Linked DNA regions of Mytilus edulis. The protein of the gene in region 2 purifies or fractionates together with the protein of the main gene of each other region. This does not show direct contact. Links are inferred from orthologs where the notes say so. Each region holds a gene or a part of one and is shown on either strand. Other genes may lie near its edges.

Region 1 (16,995 bases), on a different chromosome or scaffold from region 2:
TATCCAATGATTTGCGCCTGATATTTTAAGATACAAGTATACGATTGCACCAATTCCAAAATAAAATTTTAGTTGATTAAGCCCAGTGGCGGATCCAGAACATTTCCTAAGGGGGGCCCGCTGACTGACCTAAGAGGGGGCCCGCTCCAGTCATGCTTCAATGATTCCCTATATAATCAACCAAATTTTTCCCACGCCCCCCCCCCCTTGGATCCGCCTATGTAAGGGACTGATCATGACTGTCGTTTCGTTTCAATCTGTGCCGTAATCCCGAGAATGTATGAAAAAAGTCACAGGAAAAAAAGTCACGGAAAAAAAGTCACGGAAAAAAAGTCACAGGAAAAAAAGTCACAGGAAAAAAGTCACAATTTATATTTTGTATGAAAACTGTCATATGATCTGCACTTAAATATTGGTAATGACTTTTGTCTGTGTGTGGTTTTTTTCTGCTGTTCATGTGCAAGTATGGTTTTGTGTTTTTTGTACCCCATATCCTTTTGTTTTATTATAAAATTTAGAATGTAAATAGGGAATGTGCCAAAGAGACAACAACCCGACCATAGAACAGACAACAGCAGACGTTCACCAACAGGTTTCTATAGCTGTGTTTTTACCAATATCATGAGAATCCTTCAATTACATGTTAAACAAACAAAGCATCCCCATTAACAATAATTATGTAATTACAACATTTATTGACAGTGACTGTTGAGATTAATTAGTGGCTTCTTGTGGCACCTTTCCCTTTTTTGTAGACCTTTCACTTCCTCTTTTGGAAGGAAGCCCTACCCATGAAAAACAACTAGGGCTTATCATGAATGAAAAGGAAACAAATGGCTTATCCTGTTTGTTTAAGAGTTTGTTTTGAAAAAGAGAACATAAATTATTACACTTTTACCATTATCATTTTTTTTAGTGTATTTCTTTTTTTTTTAAATGATGAAAAGAATATATTTTTTTATTTTATTAAGCCATAAATAAAACGAAATCTGTTAATATCGATGTGCGCTTTAACTATATAAATTTTAAAAGCTCTAATTTAAAAATAATTGATCTGATACACTTTTACAAGAAGTATTATTTTTATTTAACAAAACTGCAATTTTTTTAATTATTTATTTCATACAGCTGATATACAAAATCACTTTTGTCATGTGCATTCCAACATACTTCTTAAAATACATTTTATATACTTCTTTCAAATAATTTTATTAATTGTGACTTTTTTTCTGTGACTTTTTTTCTTGAGACTTTTTTTCCTGTGACTTTTTTTCCTAGAGGTTTTGTGACTTTTTTTCCTGTGACTTTTTTTCCGTTGACCAATCCTGACAGTGTTCACTAGGCGAAGTTAAAGTAACAGCAATATAACGGGTAATGAGTTTATAAGTAACTTGGCGTAAATGAGGCCTGTGATATATCGTCAGTAATATCATTTTCTACAAAGTATTATTAAAAGAAAAATACGTATAATGAATGACTGCAATGAGCAAGCAGACAATACAAATCGACAAAATATAAATTATTATTAATTTTATCATAACTTACTTTTTTTGGTGTCGATTTCTTAACAATAATTCTTTCAATTTTCAACGTCTCCTGTAAATCAACCCTGAGTGGTGCTGATTCATGGCTGGAAAACGTCGAGAACTCTTCAAAACTCACTTTTTGTTCTCCGCTCTTTTCGATATTTGACATTGTTGCAATCAGTTATAATTAACAGTTCTATGTGTAGTAATAGTCTCAGCTTAGTATTTTTATTGATTATTCAGACGATTACCCGTGCTCAAAACTTTATTTTGAATGCAGAAAGTCATTTTTATACTTTGAAATATATATTACCGAGAAGAGGATATAACTCTATATTATGTCACAGGAAATACTTATCTGATGCCAGTATTTGACCAAAGACGGCCACTCTTGTTTATTGTCACTGGTGTCAACCTTTCACAGTATCAAGCTATATACAGCCACAGGGTAAACGGACAGAAAGACACAGGACAAAAAGTCACAGGAGTAGTAGGGACGGTTCAGTTTGAGGCACCCCCAAAACACAGGGCGCTAGGGCGCTGACGTCATATGCGCATGCCCCGCCCCCAATATGATATATGGGCATATACTAGCCCTAATGACGTCAGTGTAAGTAAGGAAGATGAGTCATACCGAATGCACGCCGTCCATATTTGGTCATGACGAGGTGCGACCATGAATCATCAGGATGCAAGATCAGGGCATGACTCACTACATGATAATACGGGCTATATATCAAAACGGAAGCACCTGATGTCGGATTATGACTCTTGGACCACCATATGATGAATCCCATATATGGAAAGCGACCACAATACCCTATGACCATATATGGAAATTATGACCAAATTTGGTAAAAAAACTTATTTTCACTCAAAAATCGAAATAAAATACATGATCATATATGGAAATCGACAAAACAACCTATGACCATATATGGAAATCATGACCAAATTTGGTAAAAAAACTTATTTTCACTCAAAAATCAAAATAAAATACACGATCATATATGGAAACCGACCAGATACCCTATGACCATATATGGAAATTATGACCAAATTTGGTAAAAACTTTATTTTCACTCAAACATCAAAATAAAACACATGTCCATATATGGACAACAGGTCACGTGATCGTATCGAGGAACGTTAACTCTGGTACAAAACAAGGGAAGCAACTCTGTATATATATCTCTCTCTTGGATTGACAATTCAACGTTCGAGGCAAGGTCACATGATCATATCGAAGAACTCTGGTACAAAAAAGGGAGGCAACTCTTCAAGGTGTGAACGTCAATCACCGATTAATCGTATCGTGTTCGGGGCAAATAGAAAAAAAAATACCAACGCAGATGTCAGTTTCATATACATTTATTACATTCATTCGTACAATGCAAGCAGTTTGTCGTCGTTACTCATCAAGTCACTAGGGGAAAAATCTTTCACAATGTCTTCCATGCTAATGTTTCTATATCTCATCTTCACGAAATGTACACAATAGAGTCCGCACGTATCGGATGATCCCGGTTGCACTTGAGTCGTACTGAATCTGTATTGAGGTCCATTGGCGATGAGCACGTTCCTGAAGCGACGATGATAATACTCCGGAGAACGTCCGAGTGAATCGAAGAATTCTGCCGGTCCCGTGGATGGAAAGTGAAACGCCACCCAATGCTTCCCCGGTCCATCGCAGGTATCCGTGTTGACGACATAGGTCATCGGTCGGTGCGAGATGTCTGCGGGTAACTCTTCGGCACAACGTACGTCCACCGGTAACCCTTCCAACGCTTCTTCTAGTTCTGCGTCGCTCATGGGAAGTATGTCTTCGTCCGTGTCGTATTCGGAGGTATCCTCGCTGCTGTCGAGCCTCCTCGCCTTGGAGATCCTTTCCTCCTCCTCCCTGCTGCACGCATGCTCCTCCAGTCCGCGGCGGTGTACAAAGACCAGTCCGCATTCTTCGCAGGCGATCAGATCGTTCGTGGTCGTTTCTTCCGTTTGGGTCGTCTCCTCCTCCTCTCCCGCCCCCGTCAGGACGTTCGTGCGCAGTCTCTCCGTCTCGGGGGTCTCCGGTTTGACGTCGACAAGGAGATAACCGTGTCGTCTTCTCGTGGCCTCGTCGAATTGTCGCAGGAAATGTTCGGATCGACCCGGGTACATCTGTCGTGCCAGGGTGGCCACGGGCTGTCGATCGATCGGATTGTCAAAGAGGACCATGTAATGACAGTTTCTTCTCTGGGTGGGGTCCTTTCCAAAATACAGGTTCTGGTAGATGGCGATCACGGAAAGATTTCGATGGTGACTTCCTTCGGTGAAGAGATCGTTGATGCGGGTGTCTTTGCTGGCGAGGGTCATCAGATCGTCCAGGACCACCATGTTGCGCACTCTCGGATCGAAGAAGTCGTCACTCTCCAGGTCGGCGGGGATGCCTCTCACAAACTCCACCGGCGGGTGCACGCCGTCTCGTACGACGTCGTAGAGGGGTTGCCACCTCTTGTACAGCCAGACGATTCTCTGCGGTGCCGGTGCCGCAAGACGTCGGACCCGAAACGATCATAGTAAACGGGTGTCAAAACAGGAACGGACCGGACGGCGGTTGTTCTACCACCGCAGGCACGGGCGGCGGCGGCAGCTGTTCTACCACCGCAGACACGGGCGGCGGCGGCGGCGGGGCGGCGGGGCGGCGGCGGTATTGTTCAAAACTTTATAAGAAGGAGAGAACACGGGCTTCATCTAATCATGGACGAGTTTTATTTATTCGTCAATAGCGGAGACTCGCTCGATCTCTTTCCCGAGAATAGGGGAGGTCAGTTCTCAGTACGTTTACCTCGATCACACTTAACGAATGGAACGTGGGAGTGTGCCCTATTGGAAATGACGTTCGTGCCTACTTTCGAAATACCCACGCGCAGGGTCTACCTATGTTCCGACGTGGTGAGGGAAGAATCGTACGTCAGAGACACGTATTTACCACTACTTCAATCCGTAGCAGTGCGACGGGACGAGACGATGGAAGTCGTCTTCGAGAGACCACTCTACCGCACGACGAGAGGAGGCGAGGTGACACTATTGGAAATCACCGTCAGAGACGATAGATTACGAGTGTGCCGATTCAAGGACGATCACGTATTCTGCTTGCTGCATTTTAGAAAAAAGTTATAAGAGGATAGCGGATTCGATTTCGAAGTACATGTATAAACATGGAATGTCCTACCTGCCATAGACGGTTTTCCAGGAGAGATGTCATGTTGAGACATTATCGCAATCAGCATGGTAATGGGGATACGCCGCCGCCGCCGCCGCCCGTGTCTGCGGTGGTAGAACAGCCGCCGCCCGTGCCTGCGGTGGTAGAACAACCGCCGTCCGGTCCGTTCCTGTTTCGACACCCGTTTACTATGATCGTTTCGGGTCCGACGTCTTGCGGCAAGACGCATTTCGTGGCGAAAGTCCTCCGAGAAGCGGAAGCGATGTGCGAACCGGCACCGCAGAGAATCGTCTGGCTGTACAAGAGGTGGCAACCCCTCTACGACGTCGTACGAGACGGCGTGCACCCGCCGGTGGAGTTTGTGAGAGGCATCCCCGCCGACCTGGAGAGCGACGACTTCTTCGATCCGAGAGTGCGCAACATGGTGGTCCTGGACGATCTGATGACCCTCGCCAGCAAAGACACCCGCATCAACGATCTCTTCACCGAAGGAAGTCACCATCGAAATCTTTCCGTGATCGCCATCTACCAGAACCTGTATTTTGGAAAGGACCCCACACAGAGAAGAAACTGTCATTACATGGTCCTCTTTGACAATCCGATCGATCGACAGCCCGTGGCCACCCTGGCACGACAGATGTACCCGGGTCGATCCGAACATTTCCTGCGACAATTCGACGAGGCCACGAGAAGACGACACGGTTATCTCCTTGTCGACGTCAAACCGGAGACCCCCGAGACGGAGAGACTGCGCACGAACGTCCTGACGGGGGCGGGAGAGGAGGAGGAGACGACCCAAACGGAAGAAACGACCACGAACGATCTGATCGCCTGCGAAGAATGCGGACTGGTCTTTGTACACCGCCGCGGACTGGAGGAGCATGCGTGCAGCAGGGAGGAGGAGGAAAGGATCTCCAAGGCGAGGAGGCTCGACAGCAGCGAGGATACCTCCGAATACGACACGGACGAAGACATACTTCCCATGAGCGACGCAGAACTAGAAGAAGCGTTGGAAGGGTTACCGGTGGACGTACGTTGTGCCGAAGAGTTACCCGCAGACATCTCGCACCGACCGATGACCTATGTCGTCAACACGGATACCTGCGATGGACCGGGGAAGCATTGGGTGGCGTTTCACTTTCCATCCACGGGACCGGCAGAATTCTTCGATTCACTCGGACGTTCTCCGGAGTATTATCATCGCGCTTCAGGAACGTGCTCATCGCCAATGGACCTCAATACAGATTCAGTACGACTCAAGTGCAACCGGGATCATCCGATACGTGCGGACTCTATTGTGTACATTTCGTGAAGATGAGATATAGAAACATTAGCATGGAAGACATTGTGAAAGATTTTTCCCCTAGTGACTTGATGAGTAACGACGACAAACTGCTTGCATTGTACGAATGAATGTAGTAAATGTATATGAAACTGACATCTGCGTTGGTATTTTTTTTTCTATTTGCCCCGAACACGATACGATTAATCGGTGATTGACGTTCACACCTTGAAGAGTTGCCTCCCTTTTTTGTACCAGAGTTCTTCGATATGATCATGTGACCTTGCCTCGAACGTTGAATTGTCAATCCAAGAGAGAGAGATATATATACAGAGTTGCTTCCCTTGTTTTGTACCAGAGTTAACGTTCCTCGATACGATCACGTGACCTGTTGTCCATATATGGACATGTGTTTTATTTTGATGTTTGAGTGAAAATAAAGTTTTTACCAAATTTGGTCATAATTTCCATATATGGTCATAGGGTATCTGGTCGGTTTCCATATATGATCGTGTATTTTATTTTGATTTTTGAGTGAAAATAAGTTTTTTTACCAAATTTGGTCATGATTTCCATATATGGTCATAGGTTGTTTTGTCGATTTCCATATATGATCATGTATTTTATTTCGATTTTTGAGTGAAAATAAGTTTTTTTACCAAATTTGGTCATAATTTCCATATATGGTCATAGGGTATTGTGGTCGCTTTCCATATATGGGATTCATCATATGGTGGTCCAAGAGTCATAATCCGACATCAGGTGCTTCCGTTTTGATATATAGCCCGTATTATCATGTAGTGAGTCATGCCCTGATCTTGCATCCTGATGATTCATGGTCGCACCGCGTCATGACCAAATATGGACGGCGTGCATTCGGTATGACTCATCTTCCTTACTTACACTGACGTCATTAGGGCTAGTATATGCCCATATATCATATTGGGGGCGGGGCATGCGCATATGACGTCAGCGCCCTAGCGCCCTGTGTTTTGGGGGTGCCTAAAACTGAACCGTCCCTACTACTCACAGGACATAAAGTCACAAATTTGGTAGGACAAAAAGTCACAAATAATTTGTTGACAATTGTTTGAATATATAATAGAAATATCTTGAAATATTTACTTTTTAATACATATATTCAAATTAAAGTTTAGGAATTGTGTCATTATGCTTGAAAAATCAAGATTCATTTAATTTTAATCATGCAAATGATATATTTTTTGGCACCATGAAGCCATTTAAGTGCCAAGTCACTTTGACATTTTGTTTTTTTTTAACAATTATTTGATTATCTTTGATATATTTTTGATTAATTTTGTTTACAAAGTTGGTATATATATACAACAGTTCAAGAAAAATACAAAAATATTTTTGTAGAAATAAGCTTTTTTTCTTTAAAGAAAATAATCAGAAAAAATGAATTGTGACTTTTTGTCCGGTGACTTTTTGTCCGTGACTTTTTGTCTGTGACTTTCTGTCCTACATTCCGCCACAGTAATCCCTACGTGTGACTTCCGTTAACTAACGAAATTAAGTAGGAACACGGAGTTATAATTTCATTATACATGTAATATCTTCAATAGAATACTTCCATGCTCACACTAAGCAGAACATTCTTACAATGATGCCAAGGTTATATAATTTGTCTCTATATTTGCAAATTAGTACAGTTGCACATATCCCAATGACAGTAACATATATTTACCATACCTTATAATGTTATAATCACAAAAGCGCTTAGACTTATGCATGCACAGACTTTTTTGAAGAGATATCTGAATGCTAATCGTAAAAAAAACCTAGCCAACTTAAGATAATATAAAAAACAGCTATATCAAAACATTCAAAATCAGAACACTGTTATTTCAGTATTAATAGTTTTCCCTCCTCTTTGTTTTTTATAAAAAAAACACCATTTGAACTCCCAGGGGTGGATCCAGCCATTTTAAAAAGGGGGTGGGTTCCCAACCCATGATAAAGGGGGGTCCAACTATACGTCCCCATTCAAATGCATTGATCGTCCAAAAAAGGGGGGGTTCCAACCCCCAGGACCCCCCTCTGGATCCTCCACTGACTACCTTATAACACAATACTCAAAAGATGAAACCAAACAACATGCACAATTACAAGGATAAATATATCCAAATATTTTCAAGTATTCGCATAGAAAAAAATAAACCCTGCCCGCCGGTATAACGTTCTAGTGTAGTCTTCTATATATACGCCGTATGATTGGGTGAACCAAAAAAATGGAGTGGAGAAGGTTTGTAACGTAAATCAATAGGTTAAACTGTTTCAAAAGATCGTACGAAATTTTAAAGGATTGATATACCGGGGCGGACCCAGCAATTTTGAAAGGGAGTTCCCTTCTCAGGACAAGAAGAGGGGGGGGGGGGTATAGTTTCCATTGATCGTCAAAAAATTGGGTCACAACTCCCGGAATCCCCCTCCTGGATCTGTCACTGTATGGACAAGCGGTGTATAGAAGCAGAGACGTATGAGACATATAATACATGTATTAATTATATATGTCTCTGATTGAAGACTTTAGAAATTAGAATAAATTTAAAAGTATAATTTGTACAACTATATCCCGTATTCTGAGATGACTATATACTGTGTTACATGTATATATAGTAGTCTCAGTCCTATTCAAACATTTTTTAACAACTTTTTCCCTTTTTAACAAAATTACTCGTCTAATTATGTGTTCTTGTTTATCAACATAGAATTCCAGTCTATTTTCTTAAAATAAAGGGTTTTGTGATCAGGTGATCAAATCTTTCCTTTACTCGCAAATTTTACACTCTCCTTGAATGAAGGAAAATAAATTCAATTGAAAATGGCGGGGAAAACAAAAAAATGATTTTTCTGACAATTTTAACCAAATTTATCTGACTATGGCACTTTCAACGCAACAGCCTGAAAATGATGATAGATATGTACTTTTAGCTAAAATAGACAATGCGAGAAATGTATCGAACATTCTGAAAGCCATTCATTTTAAAGAGGTAAATGAGAGATCAAAGTTAACTGTGAAACACAAACAACACACAGTCACAGATAGTCACTTCGGCATGTGGTCAAATCCGTCGGTTTAAGCTCATTAGAGCTTATTTTATGTCCTATCAAATTTTCGACTTTCTGCCTGTGACTTTCTGTCTGTTTAGTAGTAGTGTTTACTTAATGAAAGTCCCTGGTGCTACATTGACTATACATGTAAATGTAGCCTTTTGTAGGTGCTGATTTGACCAGGTGTCGATTTGACTTTTCATTAGCCATTAGGTGCTGAATAAACGTATTTACACTTTGGGTACTCAGCTGTAAAATTTGTGCTCAATTGACCTTAGATCTACTCTGAATCAATGTAAAGAAGTAACATCAAACATTTAATCGGTACTATTCTCAGGGAAAATATACTACTTCATATTTTCTTTACACAACAAACTCATTGGAAAATAGTAAAATTTCCCCTCAAATCGGTTAAATGTGTGATGTAACTTCTTTATGTTGCTCTTAATCATGTTTAAAATTGACTGAGTACCAAGATGTCGAAAAATAATATAAACTGGAGTCAAAAGTCGGTAATATAAAAATAGTCTATTAACATTGAGAAATCCATCAGTTGTGTGGCCACTGAACATAAAGGAAGCTCAGAAATCTTTCCCATTTTTAAAAATAAAGTATAAAGAATATCATGAACATGATGAATATTGTTGGAATGTTAAAAAAAATTTTCTTTTTCTGAGACATTTATATACCTTTAATACCAATTTATACATGTTATAAGTTGAAAGTGTCTAGCAACTCATGTTAGTTGTTGATATGCTTACAGTCACACAGTGGCATTAAAAATGTTTTAATAAAAATTAATTTTAAATCTGTTCCTTTACATCAGTGATTATTGATAATTACAACAATACACATTACAGTGTACATGTAAATGTATATGGACCATAATTTGGTATTCGGCCTTTGGTTTCTTTTTGTATCCTTTTTTATAAGTTCTAAAACTTTAACTTTTATTCTGTGGGTTGTGTTGGTGTTAGAATAGTATTAATGGAACAATTGAGTTTTTCAAGAAAAAAATAATACATTTTGATTCACCGTTTACGTGACAGGAAACCAAACAGGAAACCAATCTTTATTTTCTTTATTTTGCACAATATATTTCAAAAGACATAAATGAACACCATTAATAGTGTTACTTGCTTCATGTTAATATTTGAAATCTATTTTCAATGTTAAATTAAAGTTTTTTTAAACGCGACAGGAACAATGAGGAAACCAAAAGAAACCGAAAGCATTTCTTTAGTTTTATTTTATTGCAAAATCTGCTTAAAATAATCTGAACAGTAAACTTTTTCTTAAAATCCATCTTAAATGTAACAGTATTATAAAACTCCTAAATATGTGCTTGTTTTGAAAACAATTAGTACAATTTATTCAGAAATTTCCATATTTTCTTCATTGATACAGGATACCATAATCGTTGTATCTTGATGTTTTAGCCAAAAAAATGTATTTATATTTGGTTTTGAAATTCCAGTTATATACAATTAATTCCAAATCATTGGCAATGTAAAATTCTTTAAATCCAGTAAAGAAAAAAACTCTAACTTGGAATTAAAATCTTTAAAATAGGCACCATGTGATATTTGTGACCTGTACACCATCTACATGGTTTCCACATTTTAACCTACTTTAGTGGGCTAAAATCAATAAAGTACTTCCTTTCAAGTCATGCATGGTAAAAGTTTACTTCTCCTTTGACAAGTTTATTGCGTTTCTGAAAAGTGTTTGCAGAACATGAATAAAAAAAAATAATTAAAAATTGTGACAAAGATACCAACTTTGTACATTCCAAGTGTAACGGTATATTAACATGTATTTTTTATTAAATTATCTTTATTCACCTAAAATATCCATTAATATTTACTGCTGAAACAAAATCAATCTAACGAGCATCGGCACAATGATAAGAGACGTAATGTCTATTGAATTTTCAAAGGACCCTTTACATCGTTATCAGGAAACAAAGTGTGTTATAATGTCTGTCAAATCTGAAATCGATTTTGTCAAGTCATTGGGCATTTATTTTCACACAATATCGTATGTAACATTATGCACATAGGAAAAATAATAGACCCCCGGCGCAATCTCTTTGAAAATTGTATTTTCCTTTTTTAAACAAGACGAAACAAGTCTACAGATTATGTTTGCTAACATCCCGTTGGAAACAAAAACAATGTTTAGACCTAGTATTTCATACATCCGGCCGTAAGGGCGTGATCACATGTAAGTCACATGTTTCACGTATGACCGGAAATGATTAGAACTTAACGACAAAAACAATTTTAATAAAAAAAGGAAATAACTGGACTTCTGTTTCGTTTGAAATGTAACGCATAACGATAACGACATTTTCTTACTTAATTATTACGAAGAACAAAACTAGAATGTAAATCATCTCTGATTTACCTGTTTGAACATCTCGCGAGAGTTCATATTTGGCTACATATCTGCTCTGTGCCCATTTTGCTGTGACAACCATTGAAAATTAAAAACTAAGCCAAAAACATCAGTATCAGTCATTTTTTAATAGCTATGGGTTGTATTTATTCAAAAAATATCATCCATGGATAAGATAATGTCTCATCATTAATTTCTGCATAGTTCAATAGGTCTTGCACGTTATTTAATGTAACATGGACAGACATGTTCTTATTCAAGGTTCCAAAGAGTTTTATTAATTTAAAGTGAGTAATTGTGAACTGTTATCATGTAAGAGCAATGTGTCATTCATAAAAAAAATCATAAACCATTCAAAACAGTGAATTTTGCTACCTTAAAGGTGTAGAATCGCATAAAATTTAATTGAAAAAAATCATCAAGCATTAAAGTTATCTTAAAAATACTTTCAGACTTGCAGAAGTATTGTTTCTTTCCTAATATTGACAGATCTACATATGTAGCATAATATATATGAGCAAAAAGGCAACTGATATGAACAGAAAAAATAACTGAAGGCAGTAAAATATCAATGGTTCATCAGCCAGTCTCATGTAACATGGACAGACGTCAGTTAAAACTTGTCAACCATTTAATTATTAGGGCATATAATGTCTAATTTTTATATGATTGTCTTTCAATAAAGAAAACAAACAAAAAAAAACTTTGCATTGCAATCCCATAATTAATAGAACAATGTACAATGTCGGAACCTTGACACCTTTAGATACAAATGGATTCTGTCGCAGTTTTTTAGCCTTTAATCGTGACAATTCATTAATGTTTTATATTTTTAAACAAGATTACACATTTTAGTTTTAATTCAATTTATTGATATTCTAATAATGATTAGTCATTGCATTGCAGTTCACAGGTCAATCTTCTTTGGCCCTTTCTTGAAATCATTGCCTGCAAAGAAATTTTGAAAAAAAATGTTTTGAAAAAGACCTGTTATACAGTAAAATATGAAATAAAGAAATAGCAGCCTGTTTTATTAATTTATGTTATTAGCAATAAAGTTAAACCAGAGTTTAAGAATCATTTACCAGAATATATTTTAAAACTACAAACTACATCTGTGCTTTTATTTTTTCAATGGTGGCCAACATTTAAAGAACACAAGCATAAACTCACTTGCATAAATATCCATTGAAAAGGCATGTTTACCTTATGGAAGCAATATGACAATTTTGCACATTTTATATGTTTATAATCATCACATAATCAGTGTAATAAGTGTAATAAGTCTTGATTAGAGATAGCTTCAAGATTTGTTCATTATCTGGATTTGCTCGGTTTAGCTGCAAGATTTCTTCATTATCTGGACTTAATCAGTTTGCTGGGGTTCGTGTTGCTTATTCTTTAGTTTTCTATGTTGTGTTATATGTACTGTTGTTTGTCTTTTTCTTTTTAAGCCATGGCGTTGTCAGTTTTTTTCGATTTATGACTTTGACTGTCCCTCTTTTACAGTTATTTGTATACTACTGACAAAGTCAAAAATTTGCATATTGTTAGAAAGAATTCTATTACAACAAAGCAGATTACATCATCTAAAATTTGCGTTACGAAATTGGAAACCAAAGTAACGCTAGTGTTCTTACACCTGTTACAGAAATACTTATAGTTCTCGGCATTTTCTTCTGACTATTCTTATTGGTCGATGTTCTTTATTATTTGAAAGCAAAAGTTACGAATGCCGGTGACGATTATCTATAAATCAGTCAGCGTTATGCACTTCGGAAGCGAAAAGTAACGCGAGAAACGACACAAAAATACGGTCATATAATCTTTAAAATTTGTTAATTTCAATTTTTTTTCTAGGGAAGAGTAGCATACACTTGTATGTTGATAAAAATAATGGCATCTTTAGATGTAGTTACAACTTTTCTTACAGTAATACACGTTTTTATCACTTTTCTATAGTTATAGGAAACGAGCCCAATAGCAAATTATGGTCCATATACAGTACACGTAGTATATCAACATTAGTAAGAATCAGAGCCAACAACAATATATATCATGTATATTGTAAATGCAGAATACAATAATAAAATTATATTATATGCATTCATTGTATATGTAAACATGATAAATTTATGCAATAATAAAGCAGCCATTAAAATTCCACTCAACAACAGGTCTTTCTAGAGGATGAAGCAAGTGTAGAGAGAAACATGCATGTGCACCTCATTTTAGCCTGTTGTACAAAATGTAGATCAGCATTGAAAATACTGTACTTGTGCAGGTGCAGGGACAAACCCCACCACCCCCTATTTCAAAGAAATTTCAGAAGTCTAAATTACTATGATTACACCCTAAGAGGACTAAAGTGTTTTGCCCTGTATAAAGCTTAAGTCTGGCTTTCCCATGCTTCTTTTAAATTATAATCAGGATAATATTAGAACCTTCTATTTTATGTTTAAGTTTTAAAAAGTTCTACGATTGTATGCTTAAGAATTTGAATGTTTGAAAGTTGGAGAATAAGAAAGAAAAGTGAATTGTCACAACAACCAAACAATAATTGTAGTCAGAAAAGTTGTATTTTTAACAAATTTGAATGAATAACTGGGATTATTTAAAGTTATTTCATAAAGTACTACATGTAAGAAATCAAAAAGTAAGTCATATATCATACATGTATTTGGTTTCTTTTTTTCAGTCAGCAACAGTGTTTGCCAGTTCTATGGGATTTAAGGTGACAGTTGAAGATTCTAAGTGTGTACAGGCCAATGCCTTTATTCAGGAAGCTCTGTTCCACGAATTTGTGATGAAAGAAGACCAGATCACCTTTAAAATCAATCTAACAGTGCTACTGGTTTGTATTTATACATGTATTAATACAGTACTACCCGTGACATTGTCTTAAGGATGTCGACCATAAAATTTATGGTGGCCATGGTCTACCTTTATGTTGATCAAATGTTCACCTTCTGTTTGTTTAATACACAACGTAATTATCGGATTAAATGTCCCCAGTCATGCAAGCTTACTGGAATGTGCCAATTGTACCAGGTGATTATTCAAATACATGTAGTAATAATAGGTGAGCCATCGCTGGTAAATCTTAATAACATGTATGTTCAAGGTGTCACAGTTGGTGCGTTTGATAGAATTCTGCATGAGCTGTTATCATAAGGCCTAAATTAAAATATTGTTTGTTTGCCCTTTTCCGACCATATGTTTTGAAACAGGGTAGGTAGGTAGGTAAAATATTTTATTTTTTTCCCAAAAAAAATAATTTGGCTCGGTATATTTTTTGTCATGGGTAGGCAGGTAGGTATAATATTTTATTTTATATTGCAAAAAAATAAGAAACCCTGACGGGTTAAAATGCAAACATAGTACATTGTATACACAAGTGACAAGAAACATAATATACAAAATCTGCATAATGTCATTTTTGTCTGTTTTGCTTTTGCTAATAAGTTGATGGGACTAGTAGTATAATAGTCCCAGGAAGTTTTGAAAAAAAAATATCATGTAGAATGTGAAGTTAATTCATATGCAAGACGACTTTGTTTTCAAATATCAAAATTTAGAGCTGTGCCGCATATTTTCAACGTGTATATGCCTGGAGCTTTGAAGAGTTTTAACTTGCACTAATATTCTGTACTACGTACCTTGTACGCTGACCTCTACCTAAAGGTTTTCTGTATATTATAAGCGATTACTTAGTCCTGGTAAAATATGTCCGGGCAGAGATACATTACTAGTAGAAAAAGTCCCTAGAGTGTTTAAATTTTGTGTGTGTCTGGGTTTCCAATAAAAATGCTACAAGACTTGAACTCAATTCTGAATCTGAATAAGTACGTTGCAGGGCCAGTATATATGGCATCAGTGGCAACGGGAGAGAGGCGCTGGAAAATTAATCCAACATTGTGAGAGCCACCGAAGTTTAAAGCTCTCAATTGTCTTAGCACACACGAGATTGTCTGGTAGTCTATTCCATTCGGGTACATATTCTACATCCGCAATTTATAAATGATCTGTTTGGAAAACTTGGGAGCTTTTACTGCCAAATATTCTCCACTTTACAGGCTTTTGCCACCTTTGGTTCATGTCAGATATAAATAATACAGCAATGCTGGTCGAAGGCATCTTTAACATAATCATCCTGATCTACGGATCACAAAAGGCCATCCCTACTGTACATAGAATACAACGTCCGTTTACAAAAAAGTTTGTACACACGTTGATAATTTTGTATAATTTAAACGAAATTTTTTGTAAGTGAACCCTGCTCTCCAAGTATAAAGATACAGAGTAACGTACGTCATATCCAGCTGCGAAAACGTAGCTCTATTGTCCTTTGATTTTTTTTTTTGCCATAGATCTATGGTCCGCAAATATCAAAAATCATCAAAAGGACCTTAAGAGCTACGTTTTCGCAGCTAACGTCATATCATCATGTTTTCTCAAAGCGTTCAACATCGATTTCAAACAAATGCTTTGAAACTCTATATGCAAGTGTTCATGTCAAACGCTCACGAGATACCAAACGGACTAGACCTTATACGGTAAAGATAAAACCCGAGGATTCCGGTAAAAAAGTTTTGACCGGGAAATACAAATATAAGATTTTTGGTAGGAACGAAAAGATAAAATAAAATCTTGCTGGTAAATACAAATAAAAGATTTTCAGGCGGAACGAATTGACAGGGTCGGTCGGTAAAGGGCAAACAAACAATATTTTAATTTAAGCCTAATAATAAAATTATGTAACATGTATCAGCACGTCGGTTTAAAACTATAATTCTTTTTTTTTTACTTTTCAGGTCTGTCTGGCAAAAGCGAATAATGTGTTTATGTATAAGTTAAAATTTTGTTTTCTTGGAAGATATACTCTAGACATCTAGATATAAAATTAATGTATATAAAAAAAAAATTGCAATGATAAAGAAAAAATATTATCTTTAAATATTGATATAAATACACGTATATGATTAAATAAATTCATGTTATTTTCGGTATTTTGATCAGGAAACAGTGCCGTTATTCGTTTTTATTAGATGCAGAGCTCATTAAACGGTTATGACCTAGACCTTAAATAGCTTAAATAGCCGCGGTCGGCATATGAAAAACAAAACTTTTATAAACAATCGAGTTCATTTCTTATCTTTTCTCCTTCTAGTCTAGTGATACATCTAGTAATACATGTTGTTCATGTTATCCAATTGTGATCAGGCATTAAATGAGGGCATGGGAATCAGGATGCATTTTTTCTAATGGCATGTCAAAATTGTTGTCTTACATGAACCTTTATTCTATAAATCTTTTTACATGAAAGTATTTTAAAGGAAGCCTGGTATAATTGCCAATGAGTCAACTACAAATGTATCAAAAAGTTCAAATGACAAAGATAAAATGAAATATAAATGTAGGTCACCGCAATGTATAGTTGTCTTAAGTTTTTAGGTGGATGAAATGCACTAACATACTGTATGAATATGAAGAGCAGCAATACAAGCATT
Region 2 (17,431 bases):
AATAAAAAATATTACATAGTAATTTTTCAATTGAGTCAATAAAATAATTAAAACTACTCTATTTCTTTTTTCACCCCTTTTCTAATTCCTGTATCAAGTCAGGAATATAACAGTTGTTATCCATACTTTTGATGTGTTCACAGCTTTCGATTTTGGACTTTCGTTTTGAGATTTCCTCCGAGTTCGGTACTTTCATTATTTAACTTTTCCTATTATTTACCTGAAGTTTTTCTTGTTTACCATATAGTCTACTAAAGCTTCCTCATCAGGATCTGTCCATTTTAACTGGAAATAAAATATTATACTGAAATCATGGGAATAATGTTGGTAAGACTGCTGAATTCAACAATGTGTAAGGCATCAGTATTTATCTTGAACCACTAACTCTTTCTTTTCCAAATATATTTTTAAAAGATATCACCCTCAATAGTTGACATCAATGTATGTGCTAAAATTACTTGTAACAAAGAAAAATGTCAAATCAGCTATAATAATTGCTGGAGACACTCATATGCTATGTCAACAATATAGATAGGGTTGGTTGAATCCATGCAACAAAGCAATATAAGTAATTCTAATGCAATAACGTTTGTAACGTTCATTTTGATTGGATAACGTCACTTATTTACAATTGACAATTGATGCTATGGGACAACACGCAAGCGCAGACGGCATATGACAGATTTTAAACACATGTTTTAACGTTGTTTTCTGTCAGTTTCATTAGAATGGAGATAACAATATTGTATTTTAAGCTCCGACGGCATCAATCGGGGATTTGATGGTCGCAAATACCTGTTTACTGTCTCTGCTAACGCGTCGCCAGTAAACTTAATTTGCGAACATCAAATCCCCAATTGATGCCGTCGGAGCTTAAAATACAGTACAGTTATCTCCTAATTATTTTAATTTTCTTCCCTCTAAGGTCAGATTTGTTGATTAACTTTAAAATTAAATCAAACTAATTACCTATATTGCTTTGTTGCATGGATTCAACCAACCCTATCTATTTTGTGAAATCAAAATCTTGGAAACTTGTCAACTAAGTGCTGTATTGTTATCAGAATTATCTTTTGTTGATGTCATCGAATGTATCAAAGTTTAAATAACTGTTTGCAAGATGAGTCACAAGATGTTTTTAAATTCTACTTTTCCAAAACTAAGTTCAGAAAATAAGGCATAGAGCTTAACTTCAGTCATTTGGACAATCCCATGTTTTTAAGCAGTCCTAAAATAATTAGTTCTTCCAGGTCATTAAAACAGGAGTTACTGGTCAATCCTAGCTTACATTGATATTCCTACACAAGGATGTTAGATTCCATATTGTTTAAATACCATCCATCTTTGTCAGATACATATTAAGGGCATATGTTACAGTTACAGGGGAGGTAATGGCGTTGCTAACGTAAATTGTTATTTTTCGCGACGTCAAACATTGACTTATCGGGAAAAGATGCAGTTTTCGGCTGATTTTAATCGTTCAAACTGATTTAACTTGAAAACGAGTTCATGGACCCCTCTTTTTTAAAATGACATTTGGTTTGATTACATAAGAAGATTATGTGTACCAATTTTCATGAAAAGTTAAATAGCACATTATTTTTTAAATTTAAATAATATACAGCAAAAAATGACGTTTTTTCTATATTCATGAACATTTGATAAATTTGAGTTATTTGTAAAAAAAAAATGTTCAAATTTATGCAATATTTATATAACACATAAATCACAAATAATTTAGCAAAAAACAGCTTGTGTTTATCTTTTAAAACAAAAAAGTTATGTATTTCTATCAAAAGGAAAAATACGTTCACAAATCCATATTTTGAGGAAATATCTGAAATTTGAACCTCAATTTACTCAAAAAGAAGCACATGAAGGTATATTTTTTATTACATATTTCATTTAATCAGGTAAAAAATAGCCTGCATGCAAATTTTCATCAAAATTCAAATATGGGATCAAAACTGTATCATATACCCTTAAATAAGGAGGAATGATGTTTTCCTTTCCCAACTACAGCTATTGTAACAACATTAATCATGGCAAAGCCCACAAATAATACATTTATCATAAACACAGAACGTGTGAACGACAGTGTCCAATGGTTTAAAGTTATATGGTACTTACATCTAATGTCTCTGGGTCTGTAACTTCAGGTTCCTGAAACAAACGTCTTGCCTCCTGCAAAGTTAAAGCTTATGATTATAATCAAAATAAGGACTACTTTAATATGTGCATTAAAAATCTAACTAAAATTCATTCTGATAATTTCTTATGGACACACAAAAATGTATTTGATTTTATTTGGGAAGCAATTTTAGGTTTAAAGTTGAAAATCTCTGAAAAAGCTAAATCTTGTAGAACTACTTTTTTCCCCATAAAAACTGGTATAGACAAATGAATCTGGGCATATGCAAATTATGTGATTTACTTTTATGTATATTTGTTTTAAGTCACAAATGGCAAATCATATGTCCTTATTATTAGAATTGAATGATAAAATCATTAAGGTAAAGGTGGTTTGAAGCTATAACATACCTTGAACATCCAATCTTCTGGTACTGTGTATTTCTGTAAAGTAAAATAAACGATATGCTTAAAGGACAATTTAAAAATATGTACAGCTAACAGATGCTACAAAAATGTACACATATTGAAAAGGAAGACAAATTAAGCCTATAAGATCTCATTTCATACCAAATTAAATTAATCATCTCAAGACACCATTTCATCAATTTGAAACAATTCAAGTGCATCTCTCTAACCTCATCATACCACAAAAAAGTCAGTTCCTTACATATACCAAACATAATGCTATTTTCATGAAACTTTTGTTCAATTTTGAGATAAATCAAGTGGCATTACTGTAAATAAAATTGTAGCAAGAATGAAAATCAAACTTGGCAAGCAGGTAAAGCAGTAACTTTTTTGCCTCCAATATTTTAACAAAGAGAAAGATAACACCAAATTGTTCATAATCATCAAATTTTATTTTCCAATAGAAAAACACATTTTGATATTTTTTTCTTTTCTAATATAATTTTTCAACATACCAAACTTTATTTATCTTACACATGATTATTGACCTTGACCTTTAGAATTTTAGAATTCTAATAGAAAAGATTTTATCTGATGTAGCATCTTGGGAGTAACAACTTTTATACTTAAAAAGCTGAAACTTTGTTAGTGTAATTTATAATTTGTTTTCTGAGGTTTCAGTATACGACTAACAAAAACTTGTTAATATCTATGTCATTTTGGTCTCTTGTGGAGAGTTGTCTCATTGTCAATCATACCACATCTTCTTTTTTTATATTAGTTGTTATTTTGGCCATGTTACCTTGCTGTCTAGATGTTTTAGGATTTCTTCAATACTATGATGCTGTTTGACTAAATCATATGCCCTCTTTGGTCCAATTCCTCTGATGGATTCACAATAGTCACAACCAAGTAAAATACATAGATCAATAAACTGAAATTAAAAATTTCAAGCAATTAAACAACGTGAACATTTAGAAGACATGAAAAACTCTCAGCTACAAGAAAATATAAATTTAATATTCAATTCTCTAGTGAATGAAAATTTCAATGACCAAACAAAGAGACTACTTTACTCTAGCAGTTGTCAGACATATCTGAATGCTCAGCATTACAATGCAATGAAATTATTTTTAAATAAAATATTTATACATAAAATATAAAATCCACCAAATATTTTAAATACCTCATCTTTATTCATTCCTAATTCTTCCAAAAGTTTCTGATAATGAAATTCTTTTATAGGTAATTTTCTGAAATATAGATATAACATGTAGATAAATGTACTAATGAAAACAAATGAAAATATTACAAGCAATTAGACCTTATTCTGACGCCATAAGAAAATGTTATCTGCAATTACAATAACAAACCACTAAATATCCGTTACCCTGGCTAAAAATATAAAATTCAAATTTATATAAGTCATTTAAAATAATTAAAGTTTATCATGTATTGTGGGCATGTCATTTGATGCCTGGTGCTCATACACTTTTACAAGGTCAACTCTATTTCCATTCTCCATGTTTGTCTCTTTATTATACAACACAAAACAAATCAGTGTTATTAATGGTAAATAAAATAAAATATAATTAATGGTGTCATGTCTGATCAATGTAGATAATTGTTAAACCCAACTATCTTTGAGCACATTTTTTTTATGTTATTATAATGTTATTGTCAAGATTGACTTAATATTTGCCCTAAAAGGACGGATATGTATGACAAAAACAATTTATGAAGAGTACCTTGCTTCAGCAACTGTTAGATTTCTCAGCTGTACACTGGTTCCAAACGTAAGAGCATCCATATCTTCAGTACCAGTAGCGTATACTTTACCAGCTTTAACTAACACAGCACACTGGGCTTCAGCTTCACCAGGAGCCTACAATACAATTATTATCTTAGACAATACTTCATAAGATTGTCATAAATAACATTGAAAGTCACATCAGAACAATTACTATCATAGACAAACTATGCTCATATTTTATTTCTTTGTTTTAGGTCATGGGGATTTGTTGGTTTTCCATCTAGTCAGGGAATAGGGTTTAGAAAACAACCCATATACCGGGTATATTGGAATCTAAGCTGATCTCTTCAAATATATGATCTAAGTATATACTGTCAGTATAAACAAACTTCTATAATAAATCAAGCTGTAATTTTTTAGTTTCTCCCTATTTGTTAGATCATATACATTCTGAGTTTGCTCCGGTCTTTTCTAATGATTATATAACCTTTTTGGGGGATCTTCAATGACAAACAAATACTATGTGAGATGGAAGTTGTAAATAAAGGTTGAAAAATAAGATACAGATATTTATTTTAAAGTTTCTGATGATTACCAAATTATTCTTTAAAATAGTGTTGGGTATCTGCTGGAAAGTTCCAATTGATTAATTCGAATAATCTGATCACAAAGTACTTTAGAGCTGTCAATTATAAACACTTTTATAACTTATATGCAAATAATGCAGGACTTATCTCTCTATATAGTATTTACATTGATCTTATATTAACTCTACCTCTATAAATGGGACTCCCATCAACTTCAACAGTTCTTTACATTCTTCATTATGCTGCTTTGAAACTTTCACCAGACGACGATTGAATTTTTCTATGTTTTCTTCATCTCCTGTAAATTGTATTAACCTTTGTTAAATGAATAATTGATTTACATATAAAGAAGTCTTTTTTTTAAACAAATATAATTATAAAGTTAAAGAAATTGAGAATGGAAATTAGGAATGTGTCACAGAGACAACAACTCAACCAAACGTCAGAAAACAGCCCAAGGCCAACCATGGGTCTTTAACACAGCAAAAATCCTGCACCTGGAGGTGAGGTTCAGCTGGACCCTCAACATAATGTTTACATCATGCATATATATATACAAAAATAACAAATGTAGTCAAATAGAACTGATGAAAGAAAAATATTATTCTTTCACAATTTTCAACAACTATAAAATGACAATTATTAAAAATATATCTCAAAGCAAAGGACTTATTGTAACTAGTACAAACTAAAAACAATGTTAGATTGGTGTGTATTAATGAAGGAATACAACAATGATCTTAAAAGAAAAACTGGTTTGCTACATTAATGATACTTATAATATTTTTCTCTAAGTTTTTACATTCTATGAAACTTTTTGTGATTATATTACTTAGATTTAACTAGTATTACCTGCTTCCTCTGCTTTCTCTAATGCTTTCTGTGCTTCCTCTCTTCTTTCTTTCCTCTTTTCTAACTGTAAAGCAACATGCATATACATTTTAACAAGGTATAAGCTTCAGTAGTATAATTTAAGATTAGTACTTTACACAGAACTATGTATATATAAAGTAATGTTAATGAGACAACTATACACCAAAGACCAAGGAAAACAACAGCTCATCATGCGGTTTTTAACAGTTTGCAAAGCAAATTGTGTTTTTGATTTTTGAATTCTTAAATATAATTTACTTTACTTTTTACAATTCACATAAAAAAATAGTGTTTTCCTTTAAGCATGGGCGTACCCTGGCCTCTTGTAATTTCTACTTCCATATATATCAAAAGAATTAAGAATGAGATATGCTCATTGTTGAAGGTGATACAGTGACCCATATTTCTTCATTTCTATGTCATTTCGACATTTGGTAAATTGTGGAGAGTTGTTTCATTGGCAATCATACCAAACAATTCTTATTATAAATAATTGTAAAACTTGGTATCTATCCAATGCATATTTTTGCAAAATTTTATTTCGTAAACAATGAATTCTCTCTTAATTTAAATGTCATAACTTATAAATAAACAATATCAAATATATAAATATTATACTGACTAACCTCCCCTGACTTCATGTCTGGAGGTTTGCCATCAAATACATAGACAGGTTTTATGCCATGTTCTAACATTCTGATTGACCTGTAGAACATACCCATCAGATGACTGTAATTGAAAAAAAACATATTCTAATATTTTTTATATAAAATCTGAGAAATTGTAGCCTGAATTTTCATTCTTTTTTTAAATTAACAATGATTAAGGCAAATTTTGAAATTTACTCACAAATATTTATCATCCTGAAAACAACTAATAAATTGTTTCATCTACACAACAACCAGTGTGGATTTTGTTTTTTCCACCTGCCCACAATGGGAAGCCCACCCGTGCCCACTCCAGCTATAATCACTGTTTTTGTAAAAATATTGATAACAAATGCTTATCTGATGTCCACTGTGGACGGATGGACAAAGCAAACTCCACCTGAGCTGTAGTGTATGTTTTTAATTCATAATGAGAAAAATCAATTGAACTTGTATCAAAAACAAAGAAATTGATTGCCTGATACACATGTACATCCTAATGTTCACAATTGTAAATATGACAGCTTTTGTAAGGAGATTCACAACTCATGTGATAAAACACACACTACTACTAGAAGATGTCCGCAAAATCGTGGTACAATTTGGCAAGTGTTGAAACAAAGAGATTTAAATTTCCCTGGGTGTATGTCAACTGTCATGCGCAAAAGCTTATAAGACACAGATGGATAACAGTCTCCGATTTTTTAATATTTCTCAAGAGTTGTCATTTTCTGTGGAAAAAAGTATTGTTTCAATGACAAATTTAGAAAGTACAAAACACTACATATCATGCCTACAAATATTTCCGATTTTGTATGGTTTTGATGGAGTAGCAGCTCCAGTAAATCGGTCACTTCCTTTAGTAGTATAGAATAAAATTGAGAATGGAAATGGGGAATGTGTCAAAGAGAGTCTCAGACAACAACCCAACCATAGAGCAGAAAACTGCAGAAGGCCACAAATGGGTCTTCAATGCACATGATGCAGCAAGAAACTCCAGCACCCGGAGTCCAATTTAAGTTTTGATTCAATTCCGTAGGCATGAATACCCTTATTAAGGAATAATATTTAAAATTTATTTCCATCTATAGAAACTAACCTTGTTGTTTCACCATCTTCATTCATCAACTGGCTGCCATCTTGTCGGACAGCTATAAGAAACTGGTAGATACACATGGAGGCATCAATAGCAACTTTTCTTCCTACAAAACAAACAGGTGTTCAGAGTTAGATGAAATAACTTTCCAAAGAGCTATTGCAGGTAAAAACATGAAGTATATTTTAAAATAAAACAAAAACATGTACTGTGTTAACATCTACAAGTGAAGAGACGTGACAAAAATTCCATGTTTTGATAAACAAAGAGCTGATAGCAATATAAAGCCATTCTGTTTATTCCAAATTAACTTGATCTTAAAGGCATTACAAAAATTATTGCACATTTAAAGAACTGTCAAAATTGGTTAGAGCGTTTTGGAGTTAATGTTTGACATGTTGGCGACGGAGGGACTGACGGACAATGGTATACCATAATGTCCCCTTAATGAGCATATAAAAAGACGCCAGCTAAAGCCAGACTGCTTTATACCTTTATACCTATATCTTCGGGTCCTTAAAATAAGCCAATGGCTTCTACTGACCCCTGATCTTGGAATGTAGCAATGCAATTTCTCATCGAAAATGATCACATTATAATATATTAATATATCTTATATTTATAAAAATAGAACTTATTCAGGTGTGCACAGCTCAACAATTAACATAAACATATAAATTTATACGGGTTCCAATTCTCGCCATTCAAAGTCTTCTTAAAATCATTCAAAGTCTTTGTTAAATCTCCATTTCCATTCTAAATTTTATTTGCTTGAAGTGTTTATAATTTATTGTGACTGCCTATTTGAAAAGTATTTGCATTAAGTCCAGGTCACACCTTAACGGAGAGCGTGAACAGTCGCCGAACCAATAACGTTCTTTCAAACCGTTCATATCAATTAGACATCCGTTTTTTATCTGTTACGATGTCTGTTCATTATTGTTCATTTCCGTTCCATGTCTGTTCAAGGTCCATTTTATCCATTGATGTCCATCCTCTTTTTTGGAAAATTTTGAGAATGTTCAACTGATGCAGTGTCCGATGTACATCCTGCAGGTGTCCGTTTTACACGGTACTCGTCCGTTCTGTGCCAGTTTTGAATCCCTCACCTGTCCATTATTCATCCGTTAAAGGTCTGGTGCACTCATTCCCCATCTGACTTCTACTGGATGTATAACGGATAAAACGTATTGTGAACAGACCTGCATGTTTTTAATGAGCACCATATTGAATGAATTAATTAGTACTTGGGTGGTGGGTCTTAGACCCTTAGTCTTTTTGCAGTCTGCGCATACCCACAAATAGTCAAATTGCCGTATATAGGCTACGATTACCCGAATCTGGTTTTATAATAAAATGGCATTGGATTGGGAATGAAACATGAAATATATACGGAAACTATCGATAGTATGGGGATTTCCATTTATATTTCACGTTTCATTCCCATTTTGATGGCATTCTATTATAAAACCGGATGTAGGAACGCGAAGCTTACAAATGGCAATTTGACTATTCGTACCCCTCTCAAGTAAGCAGAGACACTGCCTTGCATATTAACAATGTAAATGTAGATGTAGATGCTTTACATATTGCTTAAACATGGCTCCAGATAGTTCCACCTATATGAAAATGTTGTATAATTTGAGATCTTACCTGGATTGGAATAAAAAGCGATAAGGTATATGGCAGATTGAAAATAAATAGATTTAAGGGGAGGGGGCAATTAAATCTAGCTCAACAACACTGGTCTCTGGTCAACAAATAGTTAATACTTTTTTTAAATGAATCGCACCAAAATAATTCTTTATCTCTTGTTCTTTCATACAGCCAGGAGCATGATCACCAAGCAATTTTGTCAATCCTAAAATTCCCATGATTAAAAATAAGTGATGAGTTAGCAGCTTTCCCGCCAAATAAACAAAAACAATGATTTACGGGAACCAGTTCTTTCTAAATATTTACGAATAAAAACCAATGTTAAAACTTGTTGTCTGATTCTTTTATATTCAACATGGGAATGCAGTATAATTATTTGATAAAAATAAAACAATTTTGAATGAAGAAATATATTCGATTTTTTGGCTAAAATGATATTGCTGGAAATTTGTACAGTATATCTGTTGACCAACAAAAAGTTTATCAAAATATAACAACACAACGTTCTGCATAAATAATTAATAATAAATAAGCTTTATTTAGAGTCGGCAAAGTATACAAGCAGAGACAACATAAGCTCTAATGAGCTCTTATGAGCTCATTTGCAACATACAGTCTCTTCTTTTTTTATATTTTAACCGACATACAAGACATTTATATCAATACAACACACACAGGCAATAAATTACCGTGACAGCACAAAATGAAGCACTAAAAACATGTATATTAATAATAAGCAGAATATAAGCATAAAAAGCTAGGTATTAAAGCTAAAAGCATATAAGTGTAAACTAGGCATCATTAAATGCTGGTAAAATAAACGGCAGCATACAATATCCCCAAATAGGGTATGCCGATCTAACATGTCTAAATGGTAAATAATTTTAGCATCATATATTAAATAAAAATCTGCACAAACTGTGCAATTACAGCCATTTCCATTCCATGACTTCCTACTAAAAAGCGCCCGGAAGCGCCCGGGAAAAGAAAAAGCGTCCGGGAAAGAAAAAAAGCGCCCGGGAGAATAAAATAATAATATTTTATAATAAAAAATGTTTTCCTGAATAAAAAAATAATCATTGCTTGTTTTGTCCTTAATATAAAAGGGGATACCTACGATGCTACATCTAAAGTGTTGTTGCACTTTTACAATATTTATCTGTGTTTTTGCATTTTTCATTTTGATATCGTTTTTGCAAAACATGTATTTTGATGTCTAACATTTTATAAATTTTTAGCATACAATGATCCATTATTACCTGTCTTTCGAAATAGTATTCATAAAAAATTATAGTATTGTTAAAATTGTTTTATTTCAAATGTCTATTATTTGAATTTGCAAAATACTTGTCAAAAATTTAAAAAAAGAACAATGTGCATTACTTATTTCATCGGCACAAAGTTGTCTCATACCAATAAAAAATCTATATATTTTCCCCGGGCGCTTTTTTCTTTTCCCCGGGCGCTTTGTCTTTACTCGGGCGCTCCCGGGCGCTTTTTTAGTAGGACCCTTTAAAACATATTTAAATTGGCTAAAATAAGCAATTCTCTAAAATCATCAGGTAAACTATTCCATAAAACAGCAGCTGTTTATCTAAAAGAGTTAATAATCAAGAATGTTCTCAATATACAGCTGAAATTTACCCCAAGGAACTTACTTTGAATAAATTAAATGTATACGGTAATATCTGTCCTTTGCTGGATTTAGATATTTCGGTTTTAAACGGGAAACTCCACACTAAAATTTACGACAAGAAAAATCTATTGTTAATTTTCCATTCTAAGATGTGATGTTCCTTTGACACCATCTTACGGTGTTTATATTTCACAGCTCGTTCGCTATGCCCATTTATATTGTGACGTTTTTTATATTAACGAACGCAATCTATGTATTACTGGTAAATTATTAAACCCGGGATATCGTTACCATAAATTACTTAAAACCTTTACTAAATTTTTCCATAAATATAAAGATTTGGTTTTGAAGTTTGCACATCCTCATTTTTACGGAAATCAGTGTTGTTAACCGTGCCCGGAAATTTAGAAATGATCCATGTAAACTTGTCGCTCCTTTAAATAAACTTATTCTAAAAGGTTACCTATTCAACACTGTAATAAGATCATTGAATATTGTTTTTATTGGTATAAATATTGATTTTGTTATCAGAAAATTAAAAGCTAACTAAATATTACTAGTATGTTACCCCTAGTTTTTGGTGGGGTTCGTGTTGTTTATTCTTTAGTTTTCTATGTTGTGTCGTGTGTACTATTGTTTTTCTGTTTGTCTTTTTTATTTTTAGCCATGGCGTTGTCAGTTTGTTTTAGATTTATGAGTTTGACTGTCCCTTTGGTATCTTTCGTCCCTCTTTTATATACATATACATATTCATATTCAAGAATCTGCAATCTGTCAATACCTGTAACTTGACATTGCACAAGGTCATGTTTTTCTCTAGCTGTTTATGACGTCTTTACACTAAATCCATTGGATGTTGGATGTGTACGGATTGATAGCTTAGTCTTAGATATAAAAAAGAAGATGCATGATTTTTTTATTAGTTGTTAGTGGCTTTGAACTAGCTGTCCGATAACTGCGAGTACTCTCAGATCTGTACATTGTGTCTTTTTGTGTCTGGATGTATAAGTACCCGGCCACGTCCACTTGTATTTTTGTCCATCTGATGAGTTAAGCCTTTTTCAACTGATTTTTATAGTTCGTTCTTATGTTGTACTGTTATACCACTGTCCCAGGTTAGGGGGAGGGTTCGGATCCCGCTAACATGTTTAACCCCGCCATATTATTTATGTATGTGCCTGTTCCAAGTCAAGAGCCTGTAATTCAGTGGTTGTCGTTTGTTTATGTGTTACATATTTGTTTTTCGTTCATTTTTTGTACATAAGTAAGTAAGTAAGTAAGTAAAACTTTATTTGGATTCGGCATATTGACAAACAATACAAACATAAGCTCTAATGAGTTTTTCACCGAATATAAAAACATATGCAATAACAAATAAAATAAGGCATGCAGCATGCAATAAATAATAAAAAGCAGCACCAAAAATTAACTTTAAGCAAATAGCATATACATGTAACTTGCAAACTACCAAAACATATATATATATAAGGCCGTTAGTTTTCTCGTTTGCCAATGAGACAACTGTCCACAAGAGATCAAAATGACACAGAAATTAACTACTATAGGTCACCGTACGGCCTTTAACAATGAACAAAGACATTACCGACCGTGCGAGGGCTGAAAAACCAGTCAATGTCGTTAAACACTTATATCATCAAGCCAATACCGCATAGTCACCTCATAAAAAGCTCCGAAATGACAATGTAAAACAATTCGACAACCACTGAATTACAGGCTCCTGACTTGGGACAGGCACATATATACATATACATGTATATCATCATAGATACCAGGACTGTATTTAGAATATACGCCATACGCGCGTTTCGTCTACAAGAGACTCATCAGTGACGCTCGAATCCCAAAAAGTTCAAAATGTCAAATAAAGTACGAAGTTGAAGAGCATGACCAAAATTCCTAAACGTTTTGCCAAATACAGCGTAGGTAATATAATGTGGCGGGGTTAAACATGTTAGCGGGATCCGAAAACTCCCCCTAACTTGGGACAGTGGTATAACAGTACAACATAAGAACGAACTATAAAATTAGTTGAAAAAGGCTTAACTCATCAGATGGACAAAAATACAGTGGACGTGGCCGGGTACTTGTACATCCCACCAACAAAAGACACTAGGAACAGATCTGAGAGTACTCGCAGTTATCGGACAGCTAGTTCAAAGCCACTAACAACTAATAAAAAAAGCATGCATCTAAGACATAATTTTCAATCCGCACACATCCAACATCCAATGGATTCAGTGTAAAGACATCACAAACAGTCATAGAAAAACATGACCTTGTGCAATGCCAAGATACAGGTATCGACAGATTGTATACTAAACAATACTAAACAAATATATGAAAATGCATGAGTTCAAAATTATGGCATTTAAATGAAGACATATGTAATGCTTTACTTTGATATTTACAATATACAGATTAAACTGTTATAGCTTGAACTTGAACATTATATGAGTGTACTTGGTGTCGCAGTTACTGAACGCTAGTTCAATGTCAATAAAAACTAATAAAACACAATATGTTTAAGACTAAAATATTAATCATTACACACCCAACATCCAATGGATTTAGGCAGCAACCATTTGATTTTCGGGGGGGGGGGGATATGGATTTTTTTCCTGGACATTACATGATTACATATAGTGGCAGCTGAGGGTGAAACAAAAAAAATATTTCTCAGGGTCAAAAACAAATTTATTATTTTCTCCAAAAGCAGGAAACAAACTTTTTTTTCCAAAAAAAACCATAGCCCCCCCCCCCCCCTAGAAAATCAAATGGTTGCTGCCTTAGTCAAATATATATAGGAAGCGATAGCTGGCATTGATTAGTTTGTCATAGTGTTCATCTTCGATTAACAAGGCATATATATCTTTATGTATTGCGTTATAGTAATCTCATTTGGAATCGATTTCTTGGGGTATTTGCAGTCAAAGTGCCAATGAACAATAGATTAGTCAATAGTCAATTTTGTGTTAAAAAAAAATTAAAAAAACAATTAATTATAACGTTTAGTGATGCTCAAAAAGCTTTTGATATTGTGTGGCACTCTGGGCTAATGAGAGAGATGTATAAAGGTGGAATGACCGGTGACAATTGGTTACTATTCAATGAGTGGTATAAGAACTTGGAGTCCTCTGTAATGTGGCAAAGTATCAAATCAAAACCAGTTCACGAATTCCAGGGTGTTCGCCAGGGTGGAGTTTGGTCCCCCACTGCCTATAAGGTTTTCATAAACACACTACTGAAACCATTTGAAATGAATGGTCTTGGTGCTCACTTGGGTTCTATTTACTGTGGAATACCCACTGTTGCCGACGATGTTACTCTGATTTCCAACAACCCGTATGAGATGCAAACAATGTTAAATGTCTTGTCTGATTATATAAATAAACATCGCTACATAATTAGTAGCCAGAAGTCATGTACTCTACAATATGGAAGTAAAACTGAACATTTATTTACACTGAATGGTCAACCTCTTCAAAATTCTGTTAAAGCGACTCATCTTGGTATAGATCATGATGTCAATTCTAAATATGGTGTGAAAGATTGTGTACCTAATAGAATTCAGACAGCTAGGAAAACAGTGTATGCCCTCATGGGAGCTGGGCTCCATGGTTTGAATGGACTTAACCCTAAAGTCTCTATGCACCTGGTGAAAATTTATGTGCTACCCAGACTTTTGTATGGATTAGACTCCATAATACTTTCTGTCTCCGATATGAAATTACTCTCCGTATATTACACCAAGCTTTTAAAGCAGATCCAGCATTTGCCAGAGCGCACTTCCACTAGTGCTGTCTACTTACTTCTCGGTCAAATTCCAGTTGAGGCTGAATTGCATAAGCGTATGCTGAATTTTTTCGGAAATATCATCAGAAACCATGGTTCTGTCGAGCGTGATGTTGCTATAAGACAACTGGCTGTAATGCCAAGGGATTCAAATAGTTGGTTTGTCAAAATTATTGACTTAACAGAACAGTATGGCTTACCATCACCACATGATCTTATTAATGTGCCTCCGGGGAAAATCGAGTGGAAAAATATTGTAAGAAAATCTATCTCTTCGTATTGGATTGATCTTCTAAAATCTGCTGTAAAATCAAAGTCATCTCTAAAGTTTTTAAATGTCAATAATATCACTCAAGGAAAAACCCACAATGTCTGGGATAGCTGTGGAACAGAGCCGTTTACTTCAACTATGGCCAGCATAAAAGCAAAAATCATGTGTGGAACTTATACCTTACAGCATGACAGAGCTAAGTTCGACAGATCTGGTGGAACTAATTCAGCATGTAAATTATGTGGCAAAGGAAGTGAGGACATTAAACATTTCCTTCTATATTGTGAAAAATTGAGAGACATACAGGAACATTTCCTAAATATTATACTAGTAAAGTTATATGACTGTGTTGATATGGAAGTGTATAATGAAATATTATCATCAGAAGACTTACAACTCAAAGTTATTATTGACTGTTCATCCTTTGAATTCCTAGACGAATCCAACATCTCTAATATTGAATGTGTATCTAGAGGTTATTGTTATAGACTACATCAAAGAAGAGCTTCGCTACTTCAAATAACCTAGTTATCATCATTATTCAATTGACAATAATCTTGAAACTGTGATTAATTCCATGTGAAGAACTGTTTTGAACTGTGCAAGTAGAAGTATGAATAAGCCAGGAGTGGAGTCATGTACATATTTACCTTAAAGTTTATATATTAAATTTCCCATGATTTAAAGTAAATTTAAATTCCCATTAAAATATATATTAACTTCCCATTAAAGTATATATTAACTTCCCATTTATGGTTACTATTTGTATATACCTGGTTAATATAAAATTCATGATGAAGCCCATAATAAATCATGTAGTTAAGGTGTGATTGAGCCCCTGTATATAGCAACTCCCAAGTTACACCGTATGGTGGTGCGCCTGACAGAGGCGGAACTTACAGATTAGGTAACAGGTAACAGGTAACAGGTTGCGGTGCGCTCTCTTTTGTTAGATATTCGGTCTTAGGCTTTACCAGTTGCATTAAAAATATGGCTGAACTCCGAAAACTTGGATTTATTGCTACAATCGAAGAGAATGATTCTTTACATCTAGCACCAGAAAGTTCTTCTAGCGAAGATGAGGTATTTACGGAACAAATATTTATAGATATAGTATGGATAAAAAGTTTAGAATGCACACAATCCACTGGTACGACAATACAGGATCTGAAAAATCAGATTACTGTCACAGAACAGGCCATGTGGTTTGAATTTCGAACCTTGAATGACATCTGTGGGAAAGATTCGTTTAATCTCAAATATTCCAGGTTGTATTCTTTTCAATTAAATTGCATTGAAAGTATGTAATTATTGAAAATTCTGACATTCAACTGCATTAAAAAAGGGGGGGGGGGGGGAGAGAGGGGGGAATTTCAATTACATGTATGCATCTAAATCTACATGAGTACAAGTCAAATCGGCACCCATAGAAAAATTCTAATTGGTACCGGGTTAAATCGGCATATAGTCAAATCGGCACCTATCTAAAGTCAATTTGGCATCCAATAATATTTGATATTTATATATATGAATAATTCTAAAAATGTATAATATTTTGGGGGGGTTGCCTGGTTGATTCTATCATGCAACCCAATTACATGAATTGACATTTTTAAAACCATTCAAACATATCAAATGAGAAACCAACAGCCTGATTATGAAAAGAACCATAAACATAAAAAAAATATGAAACAGGCAAATTCGTAGCGTGGCAGGGTTAAACATCCCCTATACATTAGACAGGGATACGATTGACTAACACAAAAAAAACCTGTGCAAAACAAAAAAACAATCAAATTGAAAACAAATGGAAATGGTGAGGCTGCTCATAGACCAAAACTGTATTCAAATCATTACAAATACATGTACTTAAATATAAGTTATTACCATTTTAACTTTTATTGCTGCTCTTCATCTGGACAGAAGCTGGAAGATTTTCAAAGATGTTATACAACAAAAAGACTATTGGAATATGTCAATGGTTAAAGAATATGTAACTAGAAAAATGTAGAATCTGACTTTCTCATTATACACGTAAACCATATAAACATGTACACATTTAACTCTTTCAATGTCATGTTGATTTATTACTCTCACTATAATTTTGATGACTTTCTTTTACAGGCTCCAGCAGGAGAAAAGGTCAAAAAGAAGAAAAAATCAAAGATAAATAGTTTTAACCAAAGTTTCTCCTTTACAGATCAGGTAAATTTAGTCTGATTAACTGTAATGTCGTGTTATATACATGTATCATGTATATTATTTACAAAAATATTCTTTGCCAGTTATAAAACATACTCAGGTAGTTAGGGTATTGTTGTACAGTTTGTTGCTTGTTAATCATGTAAGATAGCATATCAGTATGTGACATATCATGAAAACACAATACCGTAAGTTAATATTTGTCTGTATTTTAACAATGACATTAATAAAAGGAGACACTATACTGGTGTATACCTGTCCTTCTTTTAATGTCTCTATCCAATACAATCATGACAATATATCATACCTGCCAACTGTCACTATTTGCAGGTGATTTCCCCCATGGAGGCTCCAAA

Evidence for each region.
Region 1: the proteins of flap endonuclease 1-like (region 2) and cell cycle checkpoint protein RAD1-like purify together in Homo sapiens (affinity purification with western blotting; 3 studies listed by BioGRID). This does not show direct contact. The link is inferred for Mytilus edulis from reciprocal best matches to the Homo sapiens genes FEN1 and RAD1.

What each region holds. Positions count from the first base shown.
Region 1 is NC_092349.1:72,355,909-72,372,903, forward strand, and holds the start of cell cycle checkpoint protein RAD1-like, read left to right. Parts: upstream 1-8,829; 5' UTR 8,830-8,913; coding exon 8,914-9,024; intron 9,025-14,183; coding exon 14,184-14,339; intron 14,340-16,995. UniProt on the Homo sapiens protein: Component of the 9-1-1 cell-cycle checkpoint response complex that plays a major role in DNA repair. The 9-1-1 complex is recruited to DNA lesion upon damage by the RAD17-replication factor C (RFC) clamp loader complex.
Region 2 is NC_092348.1:96,435,488-96,452,918, reverse strand, and holds the start of flap endonuclease 1-like, read right to left. Parts: upstream 9,443-17,431; 5' UTR 9,372-9,442; coding exon 9,290-9,371; intron 7,604-9,289; coding exon 7,501-7,603; intron 6,484-7,500; coding exon 6,381-6,483; intron 5,798-6,380; coding exon 5,734-5,797; intron 5,180-5,733; coding exon 5,070-5,179; intron 4,427-5,069; coding exon 4,290-4,426; intron 3,795-4,289; coding exon 3,728-3,794; intron 3,476-3,727; coding exon 3,344-3,475; intron 2,575-3,343; coding exon 2,542-2,574; intron 2,185-2,541; coding exon 2,131-2,184; intron 286-2,130; coding exon 221-285; intron 1-220. Other genes in the region: probable ATP-dependent RNA helicase DDX27, read left to right, coding at 15,864-15,956, 16,998-17,078. UniProt on the Homo sapiens protein: Structure-specific nuclease with 5'-flap endonuclease and 5'-3' exonuclease activities involved in DNA replication and repair.